5 linked regions of the Ovis aries genome follow. The protein of the gene in region 2 binds, or shares a complex with, the protein of the main gene of each other region. Links are inferred from orthologs where the notes say so. Each region holds a gene or a part of one and is shown on either strand. Other genes may lie near its edges. The genes, in order: CLTB, CLTC, ARRB1, GTSE1 and DLGAP5.

The links.
Region 1: the proteins of CLTC (region 2) and CLTB are in contact, whole or in part, in a cryo-EM structure (PDB 6SCT), measured with the Sus scrofa proteins. The link is inferred for Ovis aries from reciprocal best matches to the Homo sapiens genes CLTC and CLTB. Residues at the interface, in NP_001139599.1 of Sus scrofa: Gln1291, Arg1293, Gly1294, Phe1296, Lys1326, Phe1327, Gln1354, Ala1355, His1356, Pro1382, Thr1383, Glu1413, Phe1414, Lys1415, Pro1416, Leu1417, Gln1444, Pro1446, Leu1447, Thr1473, Glu1474, Glu1475, Glu1503, Leu1504, Ile1505, Arg1508, Leu1533, Lys1535, Met1538, Lys1562; in XP_005661527.2 of Sus scrofa: Pro100, Ser102, Trp106, Gln110, Leu114, Ser121, Thr124, Glu125, Trp128, Arg129, Ala132, Asp135, Leu136, Trp139, Val147, Asn150, Lys151, Asn154, Arg155, Asp158, Tyr162, Glu191, Trp192, Lys194, Val195, Leu198, Cys199, Asp200, Phe201, Cys209.
Region 3: the proteins of CLTC (region 2) and ARRB1 are in contact, whole or in part, in a crystal structure (PDB 3GC3), measured with the Bos taurus proteins. The link is inferred for Ovis aries from reciprocal best matches to the Homo sapiens genes CLTC and ARRB1. Residues at the interface, in NP_776448.1 of Bos taurus: His12, Leu13, Gln14, Gln16, Asn17, Leu18, Gly19, Val50, Asn56, Asp57, Pro58, Ser59, Asn60, Ile62, Arg63, Arg64, Pro65, Ile66, Ser67, Ala68, Lys78, Ile80, Leu82, Lys83, Ala84, Thr87, Gln89, Phe91, Asn92, Ile93; in NP_776668.1 of Bos taurus: His30, Ile31, Asp32, Leu33, Val34, Glu35, Pro36, Pro96, Thr98, Arg99, Tyr173, Pro175, Lys355, Thr374, Asn375, Leu376, Ile377, Glu378, Leu379, Asp380.
Region 4: the proteins of CLTC (region 2) and GTSE1 are in contact, whole or in part, in a crystal structure (PDB 6QNP), measured with the Homo sapiens proteins. The link is inferred for Ovis aries from reciprocal best matches to the Homo sapiens genes CLTC and GTSE1. Residues at the interface, in NP_004850.1 of Homo sapiens: Val50, Arg64, Pro65, Ile66, Ser67, Ala68, Leu82, Lys83, Ala84, Thr87, Gln89, Phe91, Asn92, Ile93, Lys96, Ser97, Lys98, Asp143, Arg144, His145, Trp164, Gln182, Leu183, Tyr184, Ser185, Arg188, Lys189, Val190, Ser191, Gln192; in NP_057510.5 of Homo sapiens: Ser686, Arg687, Pro688, Leu689, Ile690, Asp691, Leu692, Met693, Ser707, Pro708, Val709, Val710, Gly711, Gln712, Leu713, Ile714, Asp715, Leu716, Ser718.
Region 5: the proteins of CLTC (region 2) and DLGAP5 are in contact, whole or in part, in a crystal structure (PDB 7ZX4), measured with the Homo sapiens proteins. The link is inferred for Ovis aries from reciprocal best matches to the Homo sapiens genes CLTC and DLGAP5. Residues at the interface, in NP_004850.1 of Homo sapiens: Val50, Arg64, Pro65, Ile66, Ser67, Ala68, Leu82, Lys83, Ala84, Thr87, Gln89, Phe91, Ile93, Lys96, Ser97, Lys98; in NP_055565.3 of Homo sapiens: Gly833, Asn834, Leu835, Ile836, Thr837, Phe838, Ser839, Pro840, Leu841.

Annotation. Positions count from the first base shown.
Region 1 is NC_056058.1:35,592,207-35,598,731, forward strand, and holds the start of CLTB (clathrin light chain B), read right to left. Parts: upstream 4,302-6,525; 5' UTR 4,111-4,301; coding exon 3,924-4,110; intron 1-3,923. UniProt on the Homo sapiens protein: Clathrin is the major protein of the polyhedral coat of coated pits and vesicles.
Region 2 is NC_056064.1:10,342,036-10,347,790, reverse strand, and holds part of CLTC (clathrin heavy chain 1), read right to left. Parts: intron 5,407-5,755; coding exon 5,236-5,406; intron 4,871-5,235; coding exon 4,649-4,870; intron 3,403-4,648; coding exon 3,382-3,402; intron 1-3,381. UniProt on the Homo sapiens protein: Clathrin is the major protein of the polyhedral coat of coated pits and vesicles. Two different adapter protein complexes link the clathrin lattice either to the plasma membrane or to the trans-Golgi network.
Region 3 is NC_056068.1:53,210,787-53,216,541, forward strand, and holds part of ARRB1 (beta-arrestin-1), read right to left. Parts: intron 5,120-5,755; coding exon 5,035-5,119; intron 4,607-5,034; coding exon 4,534-4,606; intron 3,580-4,533; coding exon 3,442-3,579; intron 2,123-3,441; coding exon 2,039-2,122; intron 824-2,038; coding exon 800-823; intron 1-799. UniProt on the Homo sapiens protein: Functions in regulating agonist-mediated G-protein coupled receptor (GPCR) signaling by mediating both receptor desensitization and resensitization processes.
Region 4 is NC_056056.1:222,510,853-222,517,344, reverse strand, and holds the start of GTSE1 (G2 and S phase-expressed protein 1), read right to left. Parts: upstream 3,527-6,492; 5' UTR 3,472-3,526; intron 3,144-3,471; exon of another isoform or gene 3,033-3,143; 5' UTR 2,970-3,032; coding exon 2,948-2,969; intron 1-2,947. Other genes in the region: TTC38 (tetratricopeptide repeat protein 38), read right to left, coding at 6,260-6,492. UniProt on the Homo sapiens protein: May be involved in p53-induced cell cycle arrest in G2/M phase by interfering with microtubule rearrangements that are required to enter mitosis. Overexpression delays G2/M phase progression.
Region 5 is NC_056060.1:65,698,353-65,702,991, forward strand, and holds the end of DLGAP5 (disks large-associated protein 5), read right to left. Parts: intron 4,429-4,639; coding exon 4,379-4,428; intron 2,073-4,378; coding exon 1,932-2,072; 3' UTR 1,444-1,931; downstream 1-1,443. UniProt on the Homo sapiens protein: Potential cell cycle regulator that may play a role in carcinogenesis of cancer cells. Mitotic phosphoprotein regulated by the ubiquitin-proteasome pathway.

The sequences.
Region 1 (6,525 bases), on a different chromosome or scaffold from region 2:
ACAGCCTGATAAGTTCATTTTTGTACGTGCTAATTACCTATCTACTCCACTTGACAGCCCTCCAGGAAGGCAGGGACTTTGTTTTGTCTATCACTGGGATCCAGCACCTAGAACAGTGCCTGACATATAACAGGGCCCCAATAAATATTTGTTGAATGAATACATTGAACCTCGGACCATAACTCATGAGAACCTTTGCAATCTGGCCCTGCCCATTTTTCCTGCCTCACTTCCCACCAGTCCTTCCCACAAACCCTATTCTGGTTTCCGCCTTCCCCAAACACACTATGCCACATTCCATGCCTTTCTTCCTACTTCCCTCACCAAAGAATGCTCTTGGGGATCTAGTCATTCTCCAAAGCCCAGTTCACAAGTCACCTCCTCTGGGAAGCCCTCCACTGCTTCCTCTTTTACCCTAAGCACTGATGGAAGGTTTCAACTACCATGGAGTATCCTCAAACACTGTATAGCACCCCCCACCCTCTTACATGATTACTGTGACCTCCCATGGGTCATGCATTCCCTTTATCAGGCTCTGTATTCCATTCAGCTAGCTCCTATGGGTGAGCAGTCAGTATTGGCGAAGTGGAAGTTGAACTGATCTTTGGGGGCCCGCTGTTATCTGCAAGGCCTGAGGACTCTCAGAAACTGCAATGCCTCTTAGCCAGGAGCAGAGGGAGGCTGTACAAGACCATCCCAGATGGACAAGTACACTTCACCAGCCAGATAGAGCCGTGAGTCACAGTGACAGTGCTTTCAGCTTGGGGACTAAAGGGAGGGATCCTTAACCCCATGGAAACAATACCCAGCAGATATAAATTATAATCAATTTTGTTTTCAAACAGTGATCGATTTTAACCAACAGTTATCAGCTGTCCTCCCTGCTCATTTAGATGGAGTTTCTCCTATACCGTGGCCTGGTCCCTAAATCAGTGGCAGCATCTTCTCCAGGGGCATTTCCTCTACCAGAGTGTGAAGTTACCAGGGTCCATTCACAATGCCAGTCTGTGTACTTGGCATTTCTGGAGGGGAAGTTGTGCCCCCCCCCCACGCCACCCTGACCAGTCCCAGTCTCAGACCCCTCAACCACAGGAGCAGCCAGGGGCCCACCCTGTCCTTTAGGAAGTCTCTGCAACCCAGTCTCTCCATCCCATGGGTGCTGCCCTTTGGAAATGAGGCTTCAGCCTCTTTGGGAATCCACACACGCCCACACATGAAATTATGAGTCTCTGTCCTCACAGTGCTTTCTGACCAGCCCACGGCACGTTAATAATCGCGTGCCCAGTCCAAAGCCGGCAGAACAGGAGTGAAGCAGATAGGAGTCCCAGGCATGAGCCGTGGTTGAGACTTCCCTCAGATCCCTAATCCCCTTTTGGGACAGGGACAGATGGGGTCCAGAATATTCCTGGGAGCTTACTGAGTCACATCAGGGGGAAATGGGCTTGCCCAGGAAGTGACTGGGCAAGTCCAGGGCAGAGCCAGGTGGGGCACACAGAAATCTGGGTGTGAAAATGTAAACCTCCTGGGCCCTACCCAAGCTGATGAATGGAAACGAAGTATCCATTGCTCAGGCTGGCCGCAACTCCAGCCCCAGAGGAGGGACTCAAAGAAGCTCAGACTCAGGCCTACTCTAAATGGTTTCCCCTGATGTACATGCATGCCTGTGAGCTCAGTCGAGTCCAACTCTGTGCGACCCTGTGGACTGTAGCCCGCCAGACTCCTCTGTCCATGGGATTCTCCAGGCAAGAATCCTGGAGCGGGTTGCCACGTACTCCTCCGGGGGATCTTCCCAACCTAGGGATTGAACCAGCATCTCCTGCATTGCAGGAAGATTCTTTACCACTGAGCCATCAGGGAACCACCCCCTGTCCCCAAAGTCAGGGCACTCAGCACAAGGGCATCATTTAAGAGACAAGACTCAGAAGTGATGAGTGGTGCTGGCTGCAGGAGCTTCCATCCAGCTCCCAGCAGCCTAAGGCACATTTTCTGCAACTTATTCAGGCTTCTGGCAGTTATCCCTGGGGGATTACTTACTCATCACCATCTAGACCTAGGAGGGTCAGATCAATTCTATCCTATCTGGCCACCTATTGAGCTGCATCCCATAACTCCTCTCAGATCCCTGTGCTCTACTCAGCAGGGTAGCTGAACATTTGCAGCTTTAGTGGTTGTGAGTCCGGGAGACCCCCAGAGGGCCATGTCCCTGCTGCTTTCCCTGCCACCTCTGGTCTGGGGCCAACCTGTACCACCCCTGCTGGAGAGGGAACCTCCCATCCAGGCCATAAATCCCTGGAGTCCCACCATCCTAGGAGAGGTCACAGCCTATTCAAACCCCAGCCACATCTGCAGCCCTCTGCCTGACTTCTCCCTGCTTCTCTCTTAGATGGTTCTGACATGGGCTCTCCCAGCAGGGCCTCTCCCATGCCAACCTGACTGGGGAAGCTGGTAGTCTCAAGATGTGGGCCCATATTTTCCAGGAATTCCCTGGGGTGTGCCAAAGTGCTAGAAGCTGCTGCTCCTTCAGAAGACATCCACTGCTGACTTGGTTAGGTAGCAAAAGATCCTCCCACCTCCACACCCCATCACCTCCCAGGGTGATTGCCACAGCATTTGAAAGAATGTGGAGCCCAGAGTTGAGAGGCCTGAGACCTAGTCCCAGATCTGTCACTCACGGCTGTGTGACTTTGGGCAAGACCCTCAGGCTCTCTGGGCTTCCTGTTTCTTACATGTGACAAAGGGCTTGTTACATTTCTCACACGAAGAGGATACAGAGATGCTTTGAGCCCCTCAAGCCACAGGAACTGTCTTATTCATATCTGTATCCCCACTGTGTCTGGCACACAGAAGGTGCTCAGTAAATGTTGAATACAAATATAACTATAAGAAGCTTTACTTGTAAACATTTTTTTAAAAATATGTAAGCTAACACTTATTCTGACAGGCCCATAAACCCCCACTAAAATGACAACATTAACAGGAAACAAGGGCTGTTTGAGATGCACCCATGAAAATGATAGCTAGTTTCTAACTTTAAGAGATTGTTCTTTCAGGCAGAACTAGAGCAGAAACATTGTTGATAAACACGCTATTGCAAGGACCAGGCCCCAAACCCCAAGCCTGAAGCTAACCCCAATAGCCTTGGACCACCTTTGCAAAACCACTAAGCTCCAAACCCAGGAGGGCAGGATCACATCTGACTGAAGCCCTCTGTGCCCCTGCCCCCATACTGGTGTCTGCCTCAGAGCCTGGCATATGGAAGACACTGCGGCCAGGGGGAGAGGATTCAGAGTCTGAGAGAAATGGTTCAGCCCTCACTCTGCCACTTACTAGTTCTTTCAGTAGTGTGCATTTTGAGCCCTGGTTCTGCCGTCTCTGAAATGGGTGTATAATGCACAGGAAATGATGGAATGTTAAGTAAAGTGCCTAGAACAGTGGCCACAGGATGGCAGGTGATCCTCCAGGCAAGTCTGTAAGTTCTTAGAGCACCCAGTGCCTGCTGCTTTCCCAACTGAAGGAGGGAGCTAAGTCCAAGGGTCAGGGAGGTCTGAGGTCCTGTATACACCTGCAGGGCTCAGCCCGGGGCAGCAAGCCTACTGGGAAGCTCAAGGCTGGGCTGCTTTGGATTCCAGAGCCAGGCAGTGGCAGAGCTGGGTTGGGAATGAAATGTCATGACGAATTTCTATGCCGGGAGCCACCAGATCCTCAGCCTCAGGCGGGGCCTCAGATGGGAAACACAACAAGATCCCCCTCCCATTTCCTTCTCCAAGTCCCCCTCAGGTACACATACAGCCCCAGGCCTGCTTCTGGCTGGCCATAGCAGGCCTTCTTCGCTCTACCGCAGGGCCCGGAGGCCGAGGACCCCGGGTGAGAGCCCCAGATCCCCCCCGCCAACCCCCAGTACCCAGGCCACCGCGCTGACTCACCCCCACTGGCGGGTCCCGGCTGCGCGAGGCCCCCCTGGCTGCCGGCAGGTGCCCCAAAACCCTCGTCATTCTCTATGCCCGCAATCTCACTCTCCTGCTGGGCCAAGAAGGCAGCCGCCGGGTCCTCCTCGGCCGCTTCGGGGGCCCCGCTCTCCGACGACGAGAAGAAGCCAAAGTCATCAGCCATTTTCCCCGCGTCTCTGCCGAAGCGTCCGTCTGGTGCTCGGCTCTGCCCGGCGCGTGCCCCGCGCTGCGCCCGGCGGCCGCGGCACTGTCACCCGAGCACCCCGGGGGGAGCCGCTCGGCCTCGGCGGGGACGGGCTCAGCGCGGCGGCCCCACACTTCCTCTCCGCCACCGGGCCCGGCTCGCCTGTCACTGCGGCTGCAGGCGGGAGGAGCCGGGACGGGAATGCGGTGATGTCACCGGCCGAGGGAGGAGGCCCGCAGGACGGCCGGAGGTCGCCTCTCAGCGGCCACAGGAGGGCGGCAGCAGGACGGCGGCGCAGCCCCAGGGGCCCGGGGCCGCGCTACCCGCTCGCGGCCACCAGCGCGCGTCTCCAGGACACAGGACTGGCGCAGCTCCTGCCGGGTCCGGAGGCGAAGCAGATGGGACCAAGGGACCATCGCGTGTACAGGGTCACCGCAGGCTGGCAGCCCGGATTTCAGGAGCACCGAGGGGGTGGTCGCAGCGCAACCTGGCTCCTCCTGATTCATTCTGCACAAGTTTCTTCTCCAAGGCTCGGCGGGTGTTACGAAGCCCCGTTATCAGGAAGGAGCCTTGGAAAGGTAACATTAAGACCCACCGCTATATTGCATCCTTCCTGCAAGTCCAGGGTCTTCCCCACAAAACCATGTTGTTTCCGTACATTTCTTATGCATATCCCTTCATTTGGAGACTTCAGCTTAGGCCACCAGAGTTTGTGTGACCTGACGGGGTCTCTCCTTGGAGGTTGGATCCCTTCAATGTCCCTTGCTTCCCTGGTTGTTCAGACGGCGGTAAAGAATCTGCCTGCAATTCAAGAGAACCGGGTTCAATCCCTGGGTCGGGAAGATCCCCTGGAGAAGGACATGGCAACCCTCTTCAGTATTCTTGCCTGGAGAATCCAGTGGACAGAGAACCCTGGCGGGCTATAGTCCATAGGGTAGCAAAGAGTCAGACAGGACTGAAGTGACTTAGCAGTAGCAGCGAGTATGAACCAAATTGAGGAAGGCAAACCCAGCTTATCCAGGCAGCCTACCACTCCTCCACTCAGTCACCCTGAGTAAACAGACTTCAAAACATAGTAAAACCCAAGCTCTGGCCATGGGGAGATTACAATCTAGAAGCCCAGCAGATGGGAAATGGTCAGACATTTTTTCAGAGTGATAGGTGTTGTGACATTTAAACACAGGCTTGGGGAGTGCGGCGGGGGAAGAACCACCATCAGATCTTTAGGATTTTTTCTTTCTGATTTGAAATTTGAAGGTCAAAATAGAAAGGAAAGATGAGCCGCCCCTAACAGTGGGTTCCCTTAGTGGGTGGGAAGTGGAAGCAAAGTTAAACTGAAGGACAATCTCAGTTTTGCACAGTAATACTTTCATGTAGGTTTCACTTCTATGATGAAAATATGATCATTTATCAGTAGTGTGGGAAAGAAGGAAACTTCAGGCTCTGCACAACCTGGTGTAAGCTCAGCACTCCACCATCACTCATCTCACTCCTCTTCCTCATTACCCCAGCTGCAGCCTCAGGTGCTGAGAAGACCTGGAAAGTTTCCTAGTTTACCAAACCAGCCTTAAATGTCAACTCCAGGCTTTGTAGAGGCAGAAGTGAAGTGAAGTCGCTCAGTCGTGTCTGACTCTTTGCGACCCCATGGACTGTAGCCTACCCGTCCTCTGTCCATGGGATTTTCCAGGCAATAGTCCTGGAGTAGATTGCCATTTCCTTCTTCAGGGGATCTTCCCGACCCAGGGATCGAACCCGGGTCTCCTGCATTGTAGACAGACGCTTTACCATCTGAGCCACCAGGGAAGTCCTGTAGAGGCAGAAGGACTACCGAATGCACTGTGTGCCCTTTGTGATCACCCGTGGATGTACTTGCTTGGTTCTTGGAGACTTCAATGCCTCTGCCGGCACTCTGCCCAACTAGTTCCTCCTTCCTTCCTGCTCCTTCCTAATGTAACCATCAGCAAAATTAGTTACATGCTTAATTTATACAAGTTACTGGATGAAGCACAAGCTGGAATCAAGATTGCCGAGAGAAATATCAATAACCTCAGATATGCAGATGACACCACCCTTATGGCAGAAAGTGAAGAACTAAAGAGCCTCTTGATGAAAGTGAAACAGGAGAGTGAAAAAGCTGGCTTAATGCTCAACATTCAGAAAACTAAGATCATGGCATCTGGTCCCATCACTGCACGGCAAATAGATGGGGAAACAATGGAAACAGTGACACACTTTATTTTGAGGGGCTCCAAAATCACTGCAGATAGTGACTGCAGCCATGAAATTAAAAGACGCTCGCTCCTTGGAAGGAAAGTTATGACCAATCTATTGGTCATTTGCATATGCATTGGTCTATTGCATATTCAAAAGCAGAGACATTACTTTGCCAACAAA
Region 2 (5,755 bases):
AGGGAGGGAGATAACCAGAAGGAACCACTTTCTCTGATGAAGGTTTAGCCCTACTAAAGATAACAATGATGAACTCATGACTGGACAAGACTTCCTTCCCCAAAGGAAACGGTATTCAAAAAAGTGAAACAAGTCTTGTGACTAGGTAAGTATGTCTGCAGAACCAACTATCTTTTTTGCCAACTGTGCACAACTTCTGTCAATATTGATTATGTGCAGGCTGAAGTTTAAGATTCAAGTGGCTCCATATTTAATCTTTTTTATATAAAGACAGGCTGCATGTGTTAATGCTCTGTTTTCTAAGTAACCAAGGAATGCCTGATTTTTCCCCAACTTCTTAGAGAAAGAAATGTTTACCTTTTAATTAAGCCCAAGAAGTAAATGACTGTTATACACTAGCTATTCTAAATAAAAGTGGATAGTAAAAAAAAAAAAAAAAAGTGGATAGTATCAGACAGAAATACTACTCTAGAGGAGTCCAAACATATTAGTGAAAGAAAAGAGCTGGAATACATAGATCCTTCCCTAACTAGTTGTGTCACCTTGGCAAACCACTGCACTGACCCTCAAATCTCCTTGTCTATATGGTGAGTCAGCTGAATGGGAAAATCTACGAAGCTCCTTCTAGCATCAGCATGACTTGGAATCTGGAATTCTGTGAAGGACTAGGGAGTATGGCAGCAGGACACAGACCAGGGAATCTCCCCCATACCACTTCCACTTGCCTTTAAACTGCGCTGTATCTGTCTTGTAGACTATAGAGTCTTGTCGTTAGTATAGCATTACACTTGATGTAAACTAAATTTCAAGTCTCAGTGTTATCTGTTACTAGAGGGTTTCAAAGTCCTAGGGGTGCTGAGATGGGGAGGCAGAGTGCAGAACTTTTTTATGAGTGTTCATTCCATGTCCTTCAAAAAGGCGAATAGTGAAAAATCACTCACAAAAAAAAGACATGCAGGACTTCAGTGAAAAGGCTTTAAAGACTTGGTCCCAGAAAGGTTAAAGCAAAACCTAGTTTCTATTTGCAACTATTTTAAAAACAGTGTTTCAATCCTACACAGGCCATTAAGGTTAGGACAGTATGTTACATGTATTTTAATTGTTTTATAGTGAGTATCTTAAATGTGGGTCTAATTTACCCTAATTTGTCAGGGAGCAAAATGTGAGAAAAGTGGTAAGAGTCAGACTCAGACACCTTCACACAAAATGTGGTTTTTCTACCCTGGGAAGATGGGTTATTAGTTTGCTTGAGTATTTCATTTTTTAAATTTTATCACCTAAGGGCTCATGTGTTAAAATTACCCCACTATCAAATTAAAGACTACTATGGAGTATAAGTACCACAAGAAACACTCACTGTTTGGCACCCAAACTTAAAAACAAAAATGACTACAGCTCTCTAATCTAAAGTACAATCTGCGCCACCAAGGACAGTCAGATGGGGTTTTGCTAAGTATCCAAGAGTGAGCTAAAGAAGTTATTTTTAAAAAGTACATGGATGAGTGTACATTAATAACGTCTAAGAAGAAAAATCAAACAAAAAAACCCACTGAATAACACATTGCCAGACTTTCAAGGAAAAGATTCTAAAGTGAACATGTGTTTAAAAGTTAATGTCTGAGTCGGATGTTGAAGACAGAAGTCTGTTAAAGATTTAGAAGAGCTAGCAATGTCATAATGCCCAGGCACAGACATAGGCAGGTTGGGCAAAGAGACAAAACAAAAAGTAACAACTGTGAAGGAGGAGCATCATGCTAAGCAAAAATTGATTTTTCTATTTAATGGGACAGCCTCTGGCTCAGCAATATCCAATTATTGTTTCCAATGACCCAATTTGGACTCCTCCAAACAGAAAAGCAGAGAAGGCTTTTATGAACACAAGCTTTTGTTAAGAGCTGTAACAAAAGTTTCTGATCCTTGGATTAAAAAAGAAAAATTACAGGTAAGCATGTCACTGAGTTCAGTTCCATCTGTACTATTGAATATTCATGATAATGTAAAAGGCTTTTCCACAGAGACTGCAATACGCTGCAGAGGAAAAGTTAACATGCAGTCAGTTATTTTGGTGTATGTGTGCATGAAAAAAAGGCAAAAGTACTGAAGCAAGAAGTGAGATCTGAAGATGACTGTTGCTATACAGGCTCTCAAGAAACACACACAGCCCACAGCAATGCTTTAAGAGTTTCAAAAGTAGTATGATGTAATTGCAATGACTGTTGTACATGCTTGATTTAAAACAACGCATAACACTGCAGTTCAATTACCTATTTTTCACACACACGCTTTCTAACTGCCTTGCTTACTAGCTGCTGAAGGGCCTCACACACAATGCATTTTACTCAGGTTTGCCCTAAGTTCCAATGGTGACTCCAGTTTGGTTCAATGTAATTCCAAGGCACTGTTCCCCCCTCCAAATTATTTTAAATTGTTTTAACTGTCCTTTATCTTCCCACCCTTTTCTCACCATAATTTGATACCAGACACAAGTTTGTAAGTTTGTTTCATTTATACGGGGATGGAGACAAGCCAATGAAGGAAGCAGCAACCAAAAGGTGCCTAAATTTGACTTTGGACAAGCCAAAGGGATGAGTAACAGCAAATTTGTAGCTTCAGAGATGTACCTTATTATAGAAAGCAGAAGTTAATATGGTTCCATATTTTACAGAAATAATCCAGTTGCTTAGCAACAGTTATAGCAAGCTAATCTGATGATTGTAAAAGTTTTGATTTCTCTTGAAAATGAACTAGCACCATAAGAACTGGACACCTGGAGAAACATGAGGAAAGTCTCTTCGGAAGCAGCTAGTATCTCTTGTATCTACTTTCAGCAAAAAATTAGTAAGAATCAAGAGATCAGAAACTGGATCACAGTCCTTCAATACCAAAAAAAAAAAAAAAAAACCCAAAACCAAAAAACCCCAAAAAGCCTTTTAGGGCATATATATATACATATTTAAATTCAACAACTGTCAGGCACACTCACAAAATAATACCAGAGGCTGTTTAATTTTACTTAGAATATTGATAAATCCTATTATGGTCCAGATACCCTGACAGGGAAGAGAAATCTCCTGGAACTTTGGAATTAATATGGAAACTCAACATGCTCAGTTTTTAATAATATATTTAAGAGAGACTGTGAACCAACTACTGATTAGCCTCCTGCCCTTCCTAAAGCCTATTAGCCGATTAGTAGCAAACATCTACTAATGTCCTAGAGCTCTATTATAGTTATATTTTAAGGGACTTGCAGAGGCTTTAGTGAAAATTTATTGGGGGAAAAAGCAGAAGCAGCAGTGTAGAAAAGGAAGGAAAAAAAATCATGCAAATTCCTTAGACTTAGTCCTCCAGACTTAAAGATGGAAAAGAATCAACTTTCACCTTTTCCTTTATTGCATCAACCTGCAAAGGAATTCAGAAGGTGCAGCTTAGAAAAAAATCAAATTCCATATTGAGCATAAAAAGGTAGAATCAGCAACAAAGGTTTAGGGGAGAAACATCTAACCACTAAAAAAGGTATGAGAGAAGTGAAAATAAAGGGCATACTGGAAGCAAAACTCAGAATTTTTTTTTTTTAACTTCAGAGTTTATTTGCAGAAGAATTTATGCTAGAGTCAAGTGTGAAAGAAAGCAGCTTAATCGCTAGTAAAATTTACAGCACTTCAGTTAACAGCAGCTTAGAGCCAGGTCTCACAAGTTGGCATTATGCATAAGAAAAGAAGCTATTCTCATCTGTGGCTAAGGTAAGACAACTTTCTTTTTCCTCTTACACTGGATTTAAGCAGTTTCTACACAGAAAAATGTTAATTCTCAAAAAAACTGTAACTTAACACAATGATATCTAATTGGATGGCAGCCCAAGGAAATGCTCAGCCACACTGGGGGTTGTTAGTAGTGCACCTCCCACCCTGACACACGCCTTTAACTCAGACATGCTGAAAAGACCAGACGCAAAACTGACTTTAATAAGCATGTTTTGCTTTGACAAAATGGATCCTTTAGGACCATTTTAAAATGCTCCACAGCAGGACAGGGTAAAAACATCCTAACATCAAAAACAAATACTAAGAAGAATAAGTTAATCTTATAAGATGATTATACCCCCAGCTTGTTTAACGCACTTTTAGGAAATGTGTCATTAATTGTTAACCTCCTGCAATATTTTTTAATAAGGGGTTAAACTATCAAAATATTGAGAAGATTAACAGGACATTAAGAATACAGCTGAAGCTTTCCCATGGGAAACAGGCATACGTATTAAAGTCAAGAACCAACCAAAGAGAAGGGAATCTACACTACTAAGTAATGGTCATCTGAGTTACAAGAATTGATTTGAGGAAGACATTATTTTAACACAAAATGTTTCTATCAAATGTTTAAAAAAAACAAAGACAGAAACCCATACAATATGGACGTAATACTATGTGCTGCTCAGAAATACATTCTGTGGTATTCTGAGTATAAACATTTTGCCAAGATATGTCTGAGTTACCTTTCCATTCAATGTCATTTGTCAGGTATTAAAAACTACTGGAGAATAGGAATATTTCATGATCAACTAAATTATTTAGAGAAAACCTCTGGAAACAAAGTCTATACATGGATTCTACATATCCTCAGGCTGATTAGTTCTCAGAGGCGCCATTACCTTTGTCAAGTACTCCTTCATGACTTGGATGAAATAGGGCATGGCGAAGTCCATGATGTTGTGCCTCCATGCAGTTTCCAAGACAACATCTGGCCTTAACAGATCGTAACAAGTAAAGAGACATGCTCCAAAGCACTCTCTTTTTTCTTCCTGCAAAAACCACTGTAGGAGCTCTTCAGCCAATTCAGTATCTTTAGATTCAGAGGCATACTGCATTGCATCCTATTTAAAGGAAAGAAAGTAAGTCAAACATTAAATTCAAATATGATGAACTGATAAATTAAATAACGCAACGGGGGAAAAAAAACTCAGTTATATCATTTAAATTAAGGATTTCCTGAAAGAAAAGGAAGACAGAGGAAAGCATTCTCTTTTTAACAGAGAGGTCTGACAGAAGCATATGACAGCCTCCAACATTAAGAAGTGACATAACTATTATCTCCTCAACTGGGAGCTTAAAGGCAATTCCCATATTTGCAAAAACTAATACCTTTATAGACCATAATCACTTCTAATATGCCATCTTAGGACTCACACAGATCATCTAGTTCTTGGCTTAATAGGCCCACCCCACCATCTTTCTTCACCTTGTACAGGCTATCTTTCTTGCACAGCTCTACACTCTGTTTCCAGCGATTATTGCCTTTGAAGAGGTAAGCAGCAATTCTTCTGAACTCAATGAGTTCATGCTTTTCCAAACGCTGAGCAAGTGAGATATTGTCAAAGTTGTCATAAGCATCTATCGATGTTCTCAGAGCCTTAAAAAATAAAAGAAAGCCACTGTAATGCCAAACCAGTATTTCATTTTAGTTTAAATTTTATGTTCCATCATTCTTGATCAATGAGCCGTTACTGTATATAACTGACTGCGTGTAATGTGATCAGTATCTTGCATAATGAATGTTTAATAAGACTTGATCAATCAGCCATTATTGTAATTAAGACAGCCTAGATTCAAGAATCAAACCATAAAGTTATACTATGAACAAGTATCAACATTGCTCAATCTAACTGTTTAACAATAAGGTCCTTGAAGGCACTATAAAATTTCTAGGCAACAATTTTCTCCAAGGTTTTTGGTATCAAGAACTAACTTGAATGGTTATG
Region 3 (5,755 bases), on a different chromosome or scaffold from region 2:
CAGCTTCTTCAGTTCACTTGGAAAAGTGAGCTATCAGAATGGAAGCTGGTGGAAGATTGAGACTGCCATTCGGAATATGGATGGAAGAATGTGGACCTTAACCTTCCTTCCACCAGGTGACAAGCAATCATGGGCAGGGAGTGTGTCTGATTCCTCTCTGGGACCTCAGTCTCCCTCATAAGGCTAGGCTCAAGTCCGGGTTCAAGAACTCCTTACTGAATTAGAGTGAATCAAGTTGAATTGAATTAATTTCACTTCTCCGAACAGACTAAGGTTTCTTGGGATGAGCAATATTAGCTTCCTGGGACAGGAGGAAGCAAAGCCACTGGGTTTGGGGCACATGAATTTGTGGAAAATGCATGTGGATCCAGCTGGTTCCAAGGAGTCTTGTCTACAGAAGCAGAGCTCCTCAGGACTTCTTAGCAACACTCAGCCAGCAGTTAGTTCTCATTCATGTAGAAGGGTTTGAAAGCCACGAAGCCCGAGTTTATCCAAAACATCCTGTAAAACAGACTGACTGGGGGCCACTCCCAGATCACCGAAGCCCACTTTGCTGTCTGCAAAGGTCCTTGTCACTTGGATGGGATGGAAGAGCAGGGCAAGGTTTGAAAGGAGAAACCGCACCCCCCCAGCCCCTCCGGAGAGAGTCCTAGTCCCCATACGTGCCTGAGCCTGGCAATCAAAAAACTGAGTGCTAAGCGTCCTTCCTACCCAGGGCCCATGGCTCTGGACAGTCAGGACAATGCTCTCTGGGCCCTTCAGGAAGGTGGGTTGATCAGGTTGAAGGGAGGGGCTTTACCTGGATGCAAGATCTCCCAACAGGCTGGGTGGGTCAGAGGAGGCGGAAGAAGTGGTCAGGAGAGAGTTCAGAGAGGAAGAAAACAGAAAGCAAGTTCATTCACCACACTTTGGGGTAGATTAGACCCAGGGACACACTCCACCCACCCCAGGTATAACCGCTCATCAGGGATATACAGAAGTGGTGTGAGCCCTGCCAGGGGGACTGAACAGGCCCGGTTCAGCCAAACTCCCTGCGAGGGCAGCCCCACGGTCCTCATCTGTAAAGGAGACACACAAGTTCAGCCCTGTGCTGCCAGCTCTGGGGAAGCTGGGGCTATCCAATGGCAGAAGGAAGTACTTTAGGATGCCCTGAGGATGCCTCAAGAAGGAGCCTGAGGCACAAGACCCCAGGGTCTTGCAAGAGTCAGAGGACACAGGATTTGAGATCTGCAATTCTGAGATGTCCTGTAATACATCGCCAGTATTATACACCACCACCACAGGAGGCATTTTCTAAAAATAAAGGAGACCTGATATCTAATGCTACTAGCTTTCCAATCTTTTCAAAGAAATTTATGAATTTAAAAAAATCCCTCTGACAAATTAGAAATCCTAATTCTAGGTTGACAGCAACCTATTGGCTCAGTATATGGGGAAAAGCGCGAGTTCTTTCTGGGCTTCCACCCGGCTCTGCTCTGATCAGGGAATATGTTTGGTTTACTGTCGTTACCCCAGCACCCAGCCTGTGACCTGAGGTTAGAGAAGGAGATTTGGGGAAATGTGTGGGGAACTGTTTTGGCCTCTGTTTCCCTGTCTGTAAAATGGGACAGTCAGAGCACCCTCAACCCAGCTCTGGGATTCTGAGCTCCTTGAGCCGCTTCCCCAGCAGATCACCCTGGGCATAAGTGGGGGTATGGTGGGTGCTGTGCCCTGAGATGTGATGAGGGGCACAGCACCCCTTGGAAACCCCACAGCACAGACTCAGGAAGTTCCCGCCACCTCCCATGTGCCCAGACCAGGGACGGGGAAGAGGAGGAGGAGTTAAAAGAGGAGGATGAAGAAAAGGGGGAGGAGAGAAAGAGGGGAGGGAAAGAGAGGGGCTGAAAGCCTCTGAAGCAGAAAGGGAAAAGGGTGGAGGAGAAGGAAGAGGAACAAGGCAAGATCCGGCAAGCAGGCAGAATGGGGCACTGGGTGTGGCCGTCAGGGACCTTCCCGCCCACCGTTTGGGGGCTGGGCTGGGCTGGGCTGGAGCACTCACCCACCACGAGACACCACCAGCTTCACCTTCACTTTGTAGGAAACAATGATGCCCAGGATCTCCCGGTTGGCTCCTTCCCTCAACCTGCAAGGCGAAGTAGGGAAGCCGGTTCATGGGTCTTGTGAGACACGGCAGGATGGGGTGAGCCAGGGCAGCACCACAGGTCCCTCTCCTGACCACTCAGCCACCAGGTGCAGGCGGAGCCCGGTGTGTGAGAAAGGCGAGGCCTGCCCTTGCGGAGCAAGAACTCAGAGCGCTGGGCCCCAAGTCTGGCTGTGCTGCGCTGGGAACCAGCTCCTTCCCTCCCAGAGCCGAGTCCCAGCAAGGAGGTGAGGGGTGGGCTCTTCCTGCAGGGTGGCTTCCCTTTCTCTTGCTGCTGGCAGAGAGGAGAGGGCAGTGGGCAGACGAAGGGAGGGGAGCCTGCACAGGGAAAGACCCTGCAGGAGGTGGTGCGCTCACTAGGTGTTGAAGGCAACTAGGATTTGAGTCAGGGAAGAAAAGGGAAGTGGGTAGCACATGCAAGGGCGGGTGAGACAGCGTATGGACTAGAATCGGGAGCAGAAGTGCTGCAGAGGTGGGTCAGGCCCCAAGAAGGGCCAGACCTCAGCAGGCAGGGCAAGAGGGGTCCTCATAACCCCCGGTGTCCATTAGAGCAGGGTGGCCTCAGAGAGGCAGTGGTGATCTTGGGGTAAGATCCCTGGGATCCCTTCCTTCCAAGACACCTCCACATGTGGTTGAGCCCAGCTCACCACCCTCATCTCTCTGGACTCCCAGACCCTGTCCTCATTCATCCTCTCCTCCCAGGACCCTTCCAGAAGCCCCTCCTGCCCTTCCTTCCTTCTTTCCATCCTTCCTTCTTTCCATCCTTCCTTCCAGCCTTGCTCTGCCTCAGGGACGCACTCTATCCAGCTGAAGACACGACCAGGTCAGGAGCAGCTGCCTCCTGCACAAAGCCTCTCCATGTCACCCTCCCCAGGGCAAGGCACTGACTAAGGGTGCCGGGTGGAGTGGTCCATCGTGTTCTCTGGGTGCCCCTGGAGAGGGGTGGGATTGGGCGACAGCTTCCCTGGCAGTTCAAGCTCATGAGGACGGGCCCTGGCCAATGGTCAGGGAGAGGGTAGCCTGAGCCTGTGCTGGCCCTGCTGGGACCAAGGTGGGTGTGGATCCATTTGGGGGAGGATGGTAAAGAATCTGCCTCCAACTCAGAAGACCCGGCTTTGATCCCTGGGTGGGGAAGATCCCCTGGAGGAGGGCACGACAACCCACTCCAGTGTTCTTGCCTGGAAAATCCCACAGACAGAGGAGCCTGGCAGGCTGCAGTCCATGGGGTCACAAAGAGTCAGACACGACTGAGCGACTAACACACAGTGGGGAGCCTGGGACTAGGGAGGGTGGGTCCTCACAGGGTGCTGGAGGCCAGGTTTGTGTCCTCGTGTTTGAGCTTCCCATCCAGGGCGAGGCCCCGCTTCTCTCGATTGTTGGCCAGGAAGGGGGTCAGCGTGTAGACTTTGCAGAACGTAGAGCTGGGTGCCACTGTGTCACTGGAAAGAAGGGGACTAGTGTGGAGATGCCCCCAGAGCCACCCCCAGCCTCACCCCCGGCCCACCCAGGACACAGAGCCCAGCCCTGCTCTAAGCCTCCCTCCCCTGTGAAGGGCCCACCCTTAGGACCAGCTCTGGCAGGGAGACCACTGCCACCCAAAAGGGGACATCTCTGCTCCACATGCAAACAACAGGGACTCTGAGGTGATCCATCAGCTTCATTCGTGGTTTCTAAGCAGCTGCAAGTTTTTAAAAATTCATTGTACTGTTTGGCCCTGTGCTGTATGACTAGGATAATTTTTTTTAGTGGAGAGAGTGTGGCCTGTTTTTCCCCTAACGTATTACTATGAAAAAATTTCAAACATATAGGAAAACTGAAAGAATTGTGCAGTGATCACTCACCTCCTAAGTTCTACAGTGAAGACCTTACTTGCTGTATCTCATCTCTGTCCATCGTGTGTAAGGTGTTTGGGTTGTTCAGTTTTTACCTACTTTTGCTCCACCCCGCAACCCCTTTTCAACAATAAGAGAGCTGGGGTGCAGCAAGCCTTGGAGCCCCAGCTGCCACTGGCCAGCCCTGTGAGGTTGAGCAAGTCACATCTCTCTGCCCCCACTTCCTTCTCTGCACACTGGGGGCAGCGGCAACCCCAATTCAGAAGGCTCCAGGCAATCTAGGTTTCCACAGCCCCACTCCTCGCAGATTCACTAGCTCTTATTTTGCATTCTAGTTTTAGTGGGTCTTTACCCTGACTGAAGCATGTATTTCCTTGTAGCTAAACCAAGTGGCTGGGTGGTTTTTAAAAAAGCTATTCAGGGCCAACTACGCTGAGCAGCAAGTCTAAGGCCAGACCCTCTGCGAGGTGGAGAAGAGCTACTGGACCTGTAACTGGACCCAGGGCTTCTCTTTTCCCCAGCTGTTTCCACCCGTCCAAGGCTGGGCTTGTGCTCACTTACTCAGCCTCTTCCATGGCCACAGGGCACTTGTACTGGGCTGTGTTGAACAGACAGATGTCTGCATACTGGCGCACTGCAGAGAAAGAAGGAAACGAGGTGGGTGAGTCCAGGGGTCCCAGGCTCTCTGAGTTAGGATGTTCAGCCCCAGCTAACAGCCAGAGGCCACCAGGAGTTTCTGCAGGAGATGGACCCCATCCTCCACCCAAAGGGCAGCCTGAACAGGCCCACTTCCTTCCATAACCAAAAATCTCCCCCTCAAGGACAGCTCTGTCGAGGGAACTTAGAAGAAGGGCTTCAACAGGAAACTCATTACCTGGCCAGTAAGCAGCCTGCGTTACCAGCCTCAAAAGCCTTACCCTTCAGCGTAGAGCAGGCCTTAGTCTTCCCTTCAGGCTAGTAGTTATTTACAGGGCTGTTAGCAAAGAGAGAGCCTTCGGCTGCCCCCAACCTCTGGAAGGAGTCCCCTTGCCCGTCCCCTGGACTGGCCCTCTGCCTGGGTACCCGAGATCTTGATCTTCTTCACTGTCTTGTTGGTGTTGTTGGTGACATGGACATTGACGCTGATGGGTTCTCCATGGTAGTAGATCTGGGAGGTGGAAGAAGTAGCCAGGGAGAGGGGAAAGATTCCAAAGCTTTAGATGAAGGGGAGGGAAATGAGGCCCCACACACATTTCCTGGGGTTCCCCAGGCCTTGGCCACTCTGACATTGGCCCCAAGCTCATCAGTCACTTCCCACTGATGCTAAGCCACCAGGCATGTTAGACTTAAGTTCCTCTGTGGACCTTGAAAGATAATTGAATTAGAAGGTAATAATTCTAGGCTCTGGGCTTCCCTGGTGGCTCAGATGGTAAAGAATCCATCTGCAATGCGGGAGACCTGGGTTGGGAAGATCCCCTGGAGGAGGGCATGGAAACCCACTCCAGTATTCTTGCCTGGAGAATCCCCATGGACAGAGGAGCCTGGTGGGCTACAGTCCACGGGGTCGCAAAGAGTTGGACATGACTGAGTGACTAAGCACACTACAATCCTGGGTTCCAGTCCTGGGTTGGTCACCAAAAGTAATGATAACAGTAATACTAACAATAATAAAGATGAGAGTGGTAAGGCCTTGGACAGGCTATCTAAGCCTCGGTTTCCCCCGCTGTCCATTGGAGGGGCTGGAGTAAGTGATACATCAAGTCCCTGGCTCTGAAACCTCACTGAAGCCTCAATTTGTATCTCG
Region 4 (6,492 bases), on a different chromosome or scaffold from region 2:
GAACACGGGCGGTCCCATCGCAAGGGCTGCTGGCGAGCGCCCCACACACGGGAAGAGCAGGCAAAGGACAGGAGCAAAGCGAGGCACGGGGGCGAAAGGGGACGTTCTGAAACGCACGACCGGAAGCTCAGTCACACTCAAAAGCAAGAGCCATGAAAAATTCAGAGACGGCCAGGACTCCAGTTTTCACTGGTAAGACTGTTGAAAATCTAAGTTTGATTTGTAAGTTACTACAGCTCTACGGAGGGTAGCCTGACAGTACCTACCAAGAAAGAAACGCACACACCCTGACGGGAAGCCTACTGCTGCTGTCAAATACCCCACCTGGTTTACTGCAGCAGCATTTGCAATGGCGAGACACCAGCCACAAAGCCAAGTTCCCCGATGGCAGATAAGCGCACAGCACAGCCCCACAGTGGAATGCAAGAAGACCTGGGCTCGGGGAAGAGCAGCAACACTTCCTATATTGATACACAGAGCTCATCAAGATAAATTAGAGGCAAAACCCAAGATGGTGCCCAGGGTTCTACCTGCTATAGAAGAGGGGGGCTGGACTGACACGTGCACAAGTCAGGTCTGGACTGCCCAGGAGGCCGAGGTCAGTGGCCTCTGGAGGTGGTAACTGGGCAGCGGAGGGGCAGAAAGGAGGAGGAGATGGACTCCTCACTTTCCAATGTGCCTAAAACCTAGGGAGTCAGTTTCATGGGTCACTACCAGAAAATTCCAAACATCTGCTGTAGGGAAAGGAATCCTGGGCCGGGAGTCAAGGGAAAAGCCTTCCACACCAGGCTCCGCCACTGGCTCAGGGTGACCTGGGCTAGCTGCCCCCTCCATCCACTCTGCAGACATGGGCTGCATCCTCCGCTAGGTGCTCCTCGGGGGCACACTGTCCAGCGGGCACACACCTTGGAAGGTGGTGTGGGGAGGGGCCACCGGGAAGTGGGGACACCTCTGAGGCCAGTGGCTGGAGGAGGTGGAGACACAGGTCAGGTCAGATCCTGGGTGGCATCCAAGCCATGGCAAGCTTTTAATTTATTCAGAGTGCAACGGGAGCTATCGAAGGGTTTTAAGCAGAAGAGTGTTGTGCTCTAACTTTTGTTTTTAAAAGGCCACCCTGGTGGCCTATAGCACACCCTGGATGTGCTATAAAAGCAGCAGGCGGTATCTACTGAAATTACAGTGCACACACTGGCTAAAGTGCAAAATATACATGTAGGCGGCGGCGAGTTAATGCGGCTGAGACCAAGGTGGTGGCATTCGGGTGGAGCTGGAAAGAGGTAGATGGATCCAAAACACACCGTGGAAATGACAGTAACTGATGACTGAACAAATGCTTCACAACCTTCTCAGCTAGGTCAATGGACAGGCAATCGACTTCTATTACAGAGACAGTAGAGAAGGAAACGGCAACCCACTCCAGAATTCTTGCCTGGAGAATTCCATGGACAGAGGAGCCTGGTGGTCACAGTCCATGGGGTCACAGAGAGTCAGACAGAACTGAGTGATAACTTTCTTTTCACTTTTCACAAAGACAAAGAACCAGCCAAAAATGGGGTGGGAGGTGGGACCCGCTGAGTAAGAGGTGGGAGACATTCACGTGAAGACGCCAGCCAGCTAGGTGGATGCAAAGCCCAGAACTCAGAGGAGAGGCTGCACCCCAGACAAAACGTGGGCACCACCAGAAGATGGAAGGGTTAAAGGACTGTCTGAGAACCTGCAGGAGGGGAGGGGGAGTTCAGAGAGACCCCAGACCAGGTCCTGGGGAATTTGGCTTCAGAAGGTGGGACAGAATGAGAAGTCTGCAAACAGCTGGAGATATACCGGCCAGAGTGGACAGAAGGAAAAGCAACAAGCCAAGCTGGCCAAGTTTCCTGTAGGAGAAAAGGTCAAAAGTCACTGAAAGAACAGAAAAAATGACTGCGGATTTCGCAACACGGATGTGCTCAGTGACGGACAAAGGCAGTCTGGGTGAAGTGAGAGGGCAGAGAGGGTTCAGAGGGGTTGAAGGTTGTGGAAAAGAGCAGCGAAACAAGTGGGGAAAGTTCTTGCTCTGAAGTCTGGCTCTGAATGAGGCACACCGCAGCGGAGAGGGCGTGGAGCACGTGAGGGCAAGTCGGACAACGGGACCTATTTATACATCGGTGATGAGCGTGATGAGCATGAAGAACAGACAAGAAAAGATATAAAGATATAAAGGAGGGTGACACACAGAAGTCCTCAGGAAGCAGCAACAGGGGTTCGGCTGCATGTGGAGGAAAGGGAGGGCATACACGCGAGGGTGGAGGTCAGGCTGCAGCAGCAAACCCTGTTCTAGACCCGAGGAAGCGGCGCTGATGACTAGCAGTCTTGTGGTTGCTTCTGCAGAAGGGGGGTATTAAGGAGAAACTGGGGTACTCAGTCTCCCTGACTCGCACACATGTCGTGAAGACAAAGGCTATAAAGATGTCCCCACGCTTCAGCAGAAAAAGAGGGCAGGGCCCGTAACTCCTTTTGTGAGGCTGTGCTCTCACTTCACATTCACAGCAGACAGGAACAGAACAAGACAGCAAGGCTACAGGCCAGGCTGACTGGCCCGATGTGCTGGTAAAGATCCTGGACAAGTCTCAGCAAACAGACACCAGCAACCAGCCAAGAGGCAATATCAGCTCCACAGACCTGAGTGCCTACGGAGTATGTCAGGCCCTGGGGACACTGAAGTATATAGGACGGAGAAGAATCCCTGCTCCGCTAGAAGTCACAGCTGAGGGGTAAAGGGAATGTAGAAAACCCGGAAAAGAAAGAAGTCAGAGGAATGCAAAAACTCCGGGAAGACAGGGAGTTTACCGGGGCGCAGAGAGCGGGATGAGTACCGAATAAATAAACCAGCAAGTTCTCGCAGGAGCATTAAATCGACCTGCGTGTTCCCTGAGCCCCCCAGACCGACAGAGCTGCGGAGACAAGGACGTACCTTCCTTCTTGGGAGCCTCCATCTCCGCTTCTTGGGGGGGCCAGGCAGGCTGAAGGCACGTCGCTTCCTCCTTCCCCGGCCAGGGCTGTCAGAGGTCACAGCAAGGAGCAGGAGACAGAAGCGGGGCGGGTGTCGGAGCCGGGGTTCCCCTAGCCCCCCAGGGAAGCCCTCACCGTGCGGGCCACTGCAGCACCGGCTGGGCAGAGAGGGCCGGTTAGGGAGAGACCGCGAGGCCGGCAGAGGCCACCGCGGCCGCAGCCCAAGACCCTCCGCCCCGGGGCCCTCTCGCCTCTGGGCCGGCGCCATCCGAGGCACCCCGAACCGGGGCCCCGGATCCGGACAACCAGACCTCCCCGGCTGGGCTTCAAGCCGGGGGTCTTCGGCTTGAAGACCTCCTTCAGCCTCGCCGGAGCGCGCCAGGGGGGCCCCGCCGCCCCCGACCTGGCCCGACCCGCCCGCCCCGAGGACCGCTGACTGCCCCCCCTAGACAGAGCCGCACCCGAGTCGCCCGGCGACCCCCTTACCCCAGAGCCGCCGCGACATCCCAGCCGATGCGCCTGCGCCCTGGGTTTAAACGGGGCGCGCAGGAAGCGCTGCGGGCTGCTGATTGGCCGGTTTGAAAGGCCGCGGGGCCCGGTGCATCCTGGGGGTTGTAGTGAGAGCCGCAAGGAGAAGAAAAAAAAAAAAAAAAAAAGAGGGTGGCGCGCGTGCGCACTGTCGTGGCTCGCTGCGCGTGCCCGAGGTCCGGCCAGAGCCGGGCCACACTGGGCTGGGGGCCTTAGGGCTGGCCTGTGTCTCCGTAGGCTCGGCATCAGGACAGCTACGTGTCGCAGGGGACATGGTTACGACACCAGATCTCCATCCTTAAGTGAAGATCCAACCCCTATGGTAGGAAATAGGTGCATATGCCCGCTTCGTAGAGCTCTGCGGGTTCCTTCTGGGGGCAAGAGAACCCCGTCCCTGCCCGCGGAGCGCCCGGTGACTCTGGATGACCAGGCACCCCAGTTTATGCCCCTGGAGCACCCTGACACCTCGCTTCTATTTAGAGGCTCCCTCTGCAGCCTTCGGCCTCGCTCTTTGCGGTTGCCTTCACTTCTGACGTGCTGGGTACGCACCCCTCGACCCTCCTGAGCTTCTGTCCACCGGCTCCCTTCTGAGTTCCATCACCTGTTCAGGAGCCTACTTAACTGCAGAAGAGAGATGGGGCCAGACAGACCCAAGGCAAATCCCAGCTGCAGATACTGGTCACGAGCCCCGGGGTTGCAAGTAACAGAAGACCAGCCTCAAGTTGGCTTCAGAAAAAGAATTTATTGGCTGGAATTGGGAAGCCCAGGAGCAGCCCTGGCTGCAGGCGTGCATGGAGAGAGGGGCTTGAAGGAGGGCACTAGGTCGAACTGTCCCCCAGCAGCCACTCTGGGTCTTGCTCAGCTTCCCACAGGAGCCTTTATTGAGCCCACTCGCCCGGGGCCCCAGGCTTCCCTCTGCCTGCCGGGGCCTCCTGAAACAATGGCCGGCTTAGTGTGTGTGCTCAGCCCATGGTCCCAAGGCCTGGGTTCGCGTGATTCATGACCACAGGGCCACTGTGGCAAGAGCCCAGTGGGTCCTAGACTCAAGGGGTATTCACCCAGGTGTCAGATCCACACAGCCCTGGGGGTGTCTGCTGGGGGCCAGGGTCCCCAAACGCCCACTCCCAATCCCCCTCCCCCTGTATCATGTCAGCACGTGAGACTCGGTCAGTGAACACACCAATTGTTAATAACTCACTGCGGCTAACTGAATTCTGCCTTCATCCAGCTCTTCTCGTGGGCCCCTCCTCTCTTCTGTCAATGGCCTAGCTACTGTCGATTCTTTTCTTCCTGTCCCCAGTAGGATTCTGCTTCATTTTGTAATGCACTCATTCAAGGGCTCGTTCACCAGTCATGGGTTCACTGACAGGTAGTCAGGGCGAGTTCCGTGCTGGGTGATGCTGGGACACAGATGTCCCTGATGGGGAGGGCACAGCTGGGCAGAAAGGTGCAATAGCAAGGACTGTGGGACCCTGGCCTGCAGTGGGAGGCCGGAGGCCTTCCTGGAGGGGGGGGCCAGGGTTCTGGCTCCCCTGGCCAGGCTGTATCTTGCTTGGAACCAGGAGAGGGGAGGGCATATAGGGTATGAGCAGGGGAACTGGCAGGAAGGGACAGCTCAGAATGGGAGGGCAGGCTCCCCTTGGGATGTGTCCCTAACTCCTGGGGGCAGACAGCACCTCTCTTGAGATCCCACTGTAATGACTCTGCTCTTGACTCACTGCCCTAACCTACCCCCATGTTCAAAGAGAAGCCTGTCTGCCCGGGACCCAGCCCAGGCCTGGCACATGGAGGAGGGTCAGAGGTGCCCACCCAGTAACAGTCAGGCAAAGGAGCCAATCAACTAATGTATTTTAACCCCAGGAAATGTGTCCAGTCGATTTAGAGGTGTCTGCTGCCTCCTGGAAGACCTGCCCCCTCCCTGCCCTGTGAGTCCCTACCCTAATCTCAGTTTGCACTGAAGGAACCTGAGAAGCTCCAGTGGGCTGAGACTGTCTCTCACAGCACCACCGAGTTGGACGTCAAGGCCGGGTTCCCCGTGGGGAGGGAGACAGAGGCAGCAATTACAACACTGGCTCAGATCTTGGTAAAGCCAAGTCACAAGGCTTTGGTTTCTGCCTCCACACTCAATCCTCACACCTCAGAAAGCACAGCAGATACGAGTGTGCATACGTGTGATTAAAATCAAGGTTGACAAAAATAATCGACGAGGACCTACTGAAGAGCACAGGGAACCCTACTCCATCGTCTATAACCACCTAAATGGAAAAAGAGCTTGAAAAGGAGCAGACGTGCGTATAGGTGTAACTGGATCACTTTGTTGAAACTAACACAATATCATAAATCAACTGTATTCCCATGCGAAGTAAAAACTTTTTAAGAATCATCGTTGACAATGTGCAGTTTAGAATTAAGAGAAAATCAACCCAAATCAGTGTCACTAAAGCCCCAGGAGAAGCTTGCAGATGTCTCTGCAGACACAGCAGAAGGGCTAAGGGCCCAGGCACTGAGGTGGGAGCCCCTGTCTCCCAGGAGGCAAGGGCCCCCACTAGTTGGGACCCTGGGCAAGTCACTCCCCACCATGGGCACCCTCACCCAAAAGGTGGAACAACAGAACCTTTCCAGAATATAGAGAGGAAGGCAGAATGATGGGGTTTATCCCAGGGGCGGCCTAGAGTGGAGAGAGGGGTTCCCGTAGGGGTGGATGGGAGATTCCCCTCCCTGAGCTGAGCCCACCACCACCCCACCCTCACCTTCCAACCCTTGAACTGGGAGGTGTAAGGGAGGGTCCCCTGCGAAAACAGTTTTCGAGGCAAGTGGAACAGCAGCCCCCACCTAGGCTCTGCTTGAAACCGCACTGTGGCCCTGAGCGAGGATTAGAAGAAGATTTGGAACCATGCTGAAAATTGATTTCTGCCCCTCTTCCTGTAACGCTGCTGGTTACAGGGCCTCCTGCTTTACGGGCCTGGCCAACCGGCCCCA
Region 5 (4,639 bases), on a different chromosome or scaffold from region 2:
GGTTTATGAGGGAGGATATGCCCTTTCTCTCAACAGCTGTGAAGGCAAGAAAGTACATGACTGCGCAGAGAGAGAAGTGGAGCATCTACGCCTCAGTCTACCCTACAGGGATTCTGAGCTGGGATGATCCTTTAGAGCTGTCAAGAGGGGGACAGGCCTTCATATTTTTACTTCATCTCATTTCTTTTTTCATTTTTGGAAAAGCTCTGGTTCTACCCAGTTTTCTTTCATTTTGTCTTTAAAGGTTTTCTTGATACCTCATAATTCTAGAATCCAGTAGCCCAAGGACACTCCATCTAGTTGTAGGGCATAATGACGGCTGCCTACCTGACTCATTCCCTGCTACCTAACAGTCCTGGTTTTACCCAGATATAATCCCAGGTAAAACAGGGAATCCTGATTAAGTAAATCCCAGATGAGATGCAGATGGAGATGTGGCATTAATTGGCCTAACCAAACTAAAGGGAAGGACATAGCTCTGATTACCACTAGCAGCCATCTTATACCCCCAAGCACCCAGCGTTAGAGATGCTGACACCAAGGATGCCAGAATGAACTGTGAACAGATATTGGACCTTGATGCATCATTGAGCTGTTGACTGTGAAGTGCCTGAAATCACCATGACAACATTATAATAATGAACTTCCTATTGTTAAGCCAATTGGAGTTCATTGCATTGTTACTTTAACAGCCAAAAGTTTTCTAAGTGATTCAACAGTACATCTTATTAAACCTAAAAAAAATCATGTTTACTGACTGACATTGTTTTAGTCTCATCTACTTTATCAATGGCAACCCACTCCAGTATTCTTGCCTGGAAAATCTCATGGACAGAGGAGCCTGGCAAGCTACAGTCCACAGGGTTGCAAAGAGTTAGACACAACCGAGTATGCACACACTGACTTCATCCTTGAGGGCAAATGTTATCTTATTGTTACATCACATATCGCTTTATGTATGTACTAAGTCTTGGGTTGCTCTGTACTCATCTCTTTTACATGTTCATGGCCCTGGACCCTTAGAAAACTCCCAACTTTGATAATACTGTCTTTTCTACAAGCCCAACACAACTTCCTCTAACAAAAGTGGATGTGCTTTTCCTTTCTTGTTTGGAAGGCCCTCATCTTAAAGAATTATCCATAAAGGTGCTGCTTGTTCAGTGAATACCCCCAATACTCACCTCATTTGCAAACAGAAATAACTGGCCCCAGGTCTGATGGGAAGCTTCCGCTACTTATGAGTCAGCTTAGTGCTCTGTCGTACTGATGCCCCTGTCTTCTACAATCCTACAGTCAAGAGTTTTATAAAGGAGAAAGTATTCCAAATATACTGATTGATAGCTAAAGAAACTCCACATACCCTGAAAATGCAATATGTAAGCTATTCAATATCAACAAATTTAAGAGTTCAAACTAAGAATAAAGTATAAAAGAATGCAAATATTTGTCAAAGTTTAACATTATATTTCAATTAAACTGAAGAATGTTAGTAAGCTCTGAGCAGATATACTTAAGCTTATACATTTTAAACAAGAGAGGCAAGGCACAGTACATTTTTATTCTGCATTGGTTAATATATAACATATCCCCACTTCCCTTGAGAAATAGTATCATAGCTAAAATACACTTTGATGAACACTGAATATTAAAATATTACACAATGACTCCTCAGAATCCTGAGGGGGGTGGTTGGATTGGTCCCAGGATCACCCCCGTCCCCTCACACACACACACAGATACCAAAATTCAAGGATGCTTAAATCTCTTAACAGCAGGCTCTCAGTATCCACAGGTTCTGCATCCACCTAAGGAGGGTCAACAGTCTACAAGTAGCTTGAACAGCACTGAACACAAACACTCTTCAACTTTTCAATATTCTAAGAACACAGCACTGATGACATGAAGAAAGATGTCTGGATTTATTTTTAAATTTAAAATTCTTCTGGTTGTTCTCCACTGAGAGGCCTCAGAGGTGAAAAGGAAATCAGGTTACCACCAAAGGAAATGTGTCTGGTCTGTTCTTGATGTCTTCTCTCCACCTGAATGAATGTATTACTGCAGTTCAGGCCTGGCTAGAGAAGAAATTTAAGAGAAGCCACTGAAGTAATTATCAAGAGTTTTACCAAGTGAGTGTTCAATCTTTCAAATTAGTAGTGGATTAATTAATAATATAAACAACATTTTTTGTACACAATGATAAAATTCTTAGTAACATAATGTTATGCTACCCTCCATGGATCTAATTTCAAAATAGAGATTTTTTAAAATTGAAAAGTATATTAGGAATATATACCTTATATATGGAACCTAGAAAAATGGTACTGATGAACCTATTTGCAAGGCAGGAATAGAGATGCAGACATAGAGAACAAACTTCTGGATACAGTGGAGGAAGGAGAGGGTGGGACAAATTGAGAAGTACTGAAATATATAGATTATCATATATAAAACAGCTAGCTAGTGGGAAGTTGCTGCATAACACAGGAAGCTCCACCTAGAGGGGTGGGATGGGATGGGAGGTGAGGGGGAGATTCAAGAGGGAAAGGACCTATGTATACTCATGGCTGATTCATGCTTTTGTGTGGCAGAAACCAACAGAACATTGGAAAGCAATTATCCTCCAGTGAAAAATAAATTTTTAAAAAATAAATATTTCTAAAAAGGAATACATGCCTTAAAAGGTGACAGACTTCAGTAACGTATGCAGGGTGACTAAAACTGAAGCCACTTAGGCAGATTCCACACACCCTAGTCCACATCACTGTAATTAGCAGAACTTTTACTGGTGTGATCCTGCCAGGATCCTTCTCTTTGTTCTCCCTCAAGCCCTACTTCAGGTTTAAATTATGCTGGTAATCGTGTGGGTCTAAAGGTATATCTATTAAAAAGATCCTAGAATATAAATCCTAATATTTATGGGAATGGAAAATAACTCACAGGGAGACTAAGTTATAAGATACTAAGATTTATCAACAAGAAAATGTATAACTGTGAAGCAATTTTAATTATATTACTAATAATATATCAAAAAACAGAATGTTATGATTAACTTCTAGACTTATTTATAATACATATTATCAGAACCAATCATGTAGAGTTGAGAACTGGGAACGAGATTAAATCAGGTTTCTATAAACTGGCCTCATGCTGAAATCCCTGTCCGTCTAGGTGTCAGCCTCTGAGTAAAGAAGGCTGAAACCAAGAATGAACAGTGCACGTCACAGAAACCATTCTGCTCCTGAGATGCAGCGAGCCCTGAAGGCTGAATATGGAGAAGGCAGCTTTGAAAGATAATAAAAAGTCAACATAGTCAGAGGTCCTTAAGGAATTAGTGGTGTAAGAAAGCCAAGCATTCGTCAGGCTTCGTGAGATTAACAAAAACTGTTGCTGTTTTATTCTACATTTGCCTTAATGATTTTTTAATATTCTGAGATTGAAGATTAGCAAAAAAGCCCATTCTCTGACTCATTTTAACAATTGTCCCTGGAAAATTTCCAGGTAAGGCTGTAAACCAGAGTTGCTGACCCTGGCTACATAAATTGCCTGGTGAACGTCCAAAACCAGATCACTGAAATAAAAATATCTGGGAGTGGGGCTGAAAACCAATGCTGCAGAGACTCAGCAGGCAAGAGAGCACGCTTCCATTTATGTCCTAAATGTTAAGTGCCAGCATCCATGAATATGAATCAGACAGCTCTGCCCAAAGAGGAACTTACAGTTAATAAGGGAAATAGATTCCTGAAAGCATCGTATGTTTTACGAATGCAATAGTTTATTCATATTATACTCTCAAAAAGAGATTAAATGTGTGTACTGCATGTACTGTACACCTTTGTCTACAGAGGAACAGATGAGAGATGAGAGCTTTTACAGGAAGGCTTCACAGACAGGCAAATGTTTGGACTAGACTTAGAGGCAAGAGGTCACTAAAAAGTAAAGGTCGGGGGGCTTCCAAATAAAATAACAGGACATAAAAACAGCAATCTAAAAGAATTACAATGAAAATAAGCATTGATGACTGAAGATAGGATAGACATTTTCTTCTCAACTGTATACTTCAAAAGGGTATAATCTTGTGTTATCCTTTTCTTGCATCACTGAGAAATACTAAGCATACTAAGTATTCAACCAATCTGTCACAACAAATTTGATACATAAACCATATAAAGAATTAAATCTTCAGTTTAATACTAAAGCATACTATAAAGTATATGAAAATTTTTTCCCCATTTTGAGAAAAAAATAAACAAAAAAGGACTTCAGAGTAAATAGTGATAAGATGTACATTTTAAACTGTGCATATAAACTGAAAAATAACGCTCATTTTATAAAACAAATCTAAAATACAAAGAACTTTTCAAATAAATTGAAAACTTACTGAATCAAGAAGATGGCATCCAGTACTGAGACTTTTATTATCACATAATACTGAAAAAAAAAAAAAAAAGAATAATTTTTAACTTTTTAAAGAATATTCTCGCAGTTAAGGGTTGTTAGAAAAGGACAGACTTAAAAGATATGAAAACTTCCAAATATCAAAGGCGAAGAAAAACGTGGGCCATCTTATGCTATATCTTTTTAAATGTAGTTAAATTTCTTCGTAAAATTCTCATCCTTAATTTCAGTATACTAAGTCTTC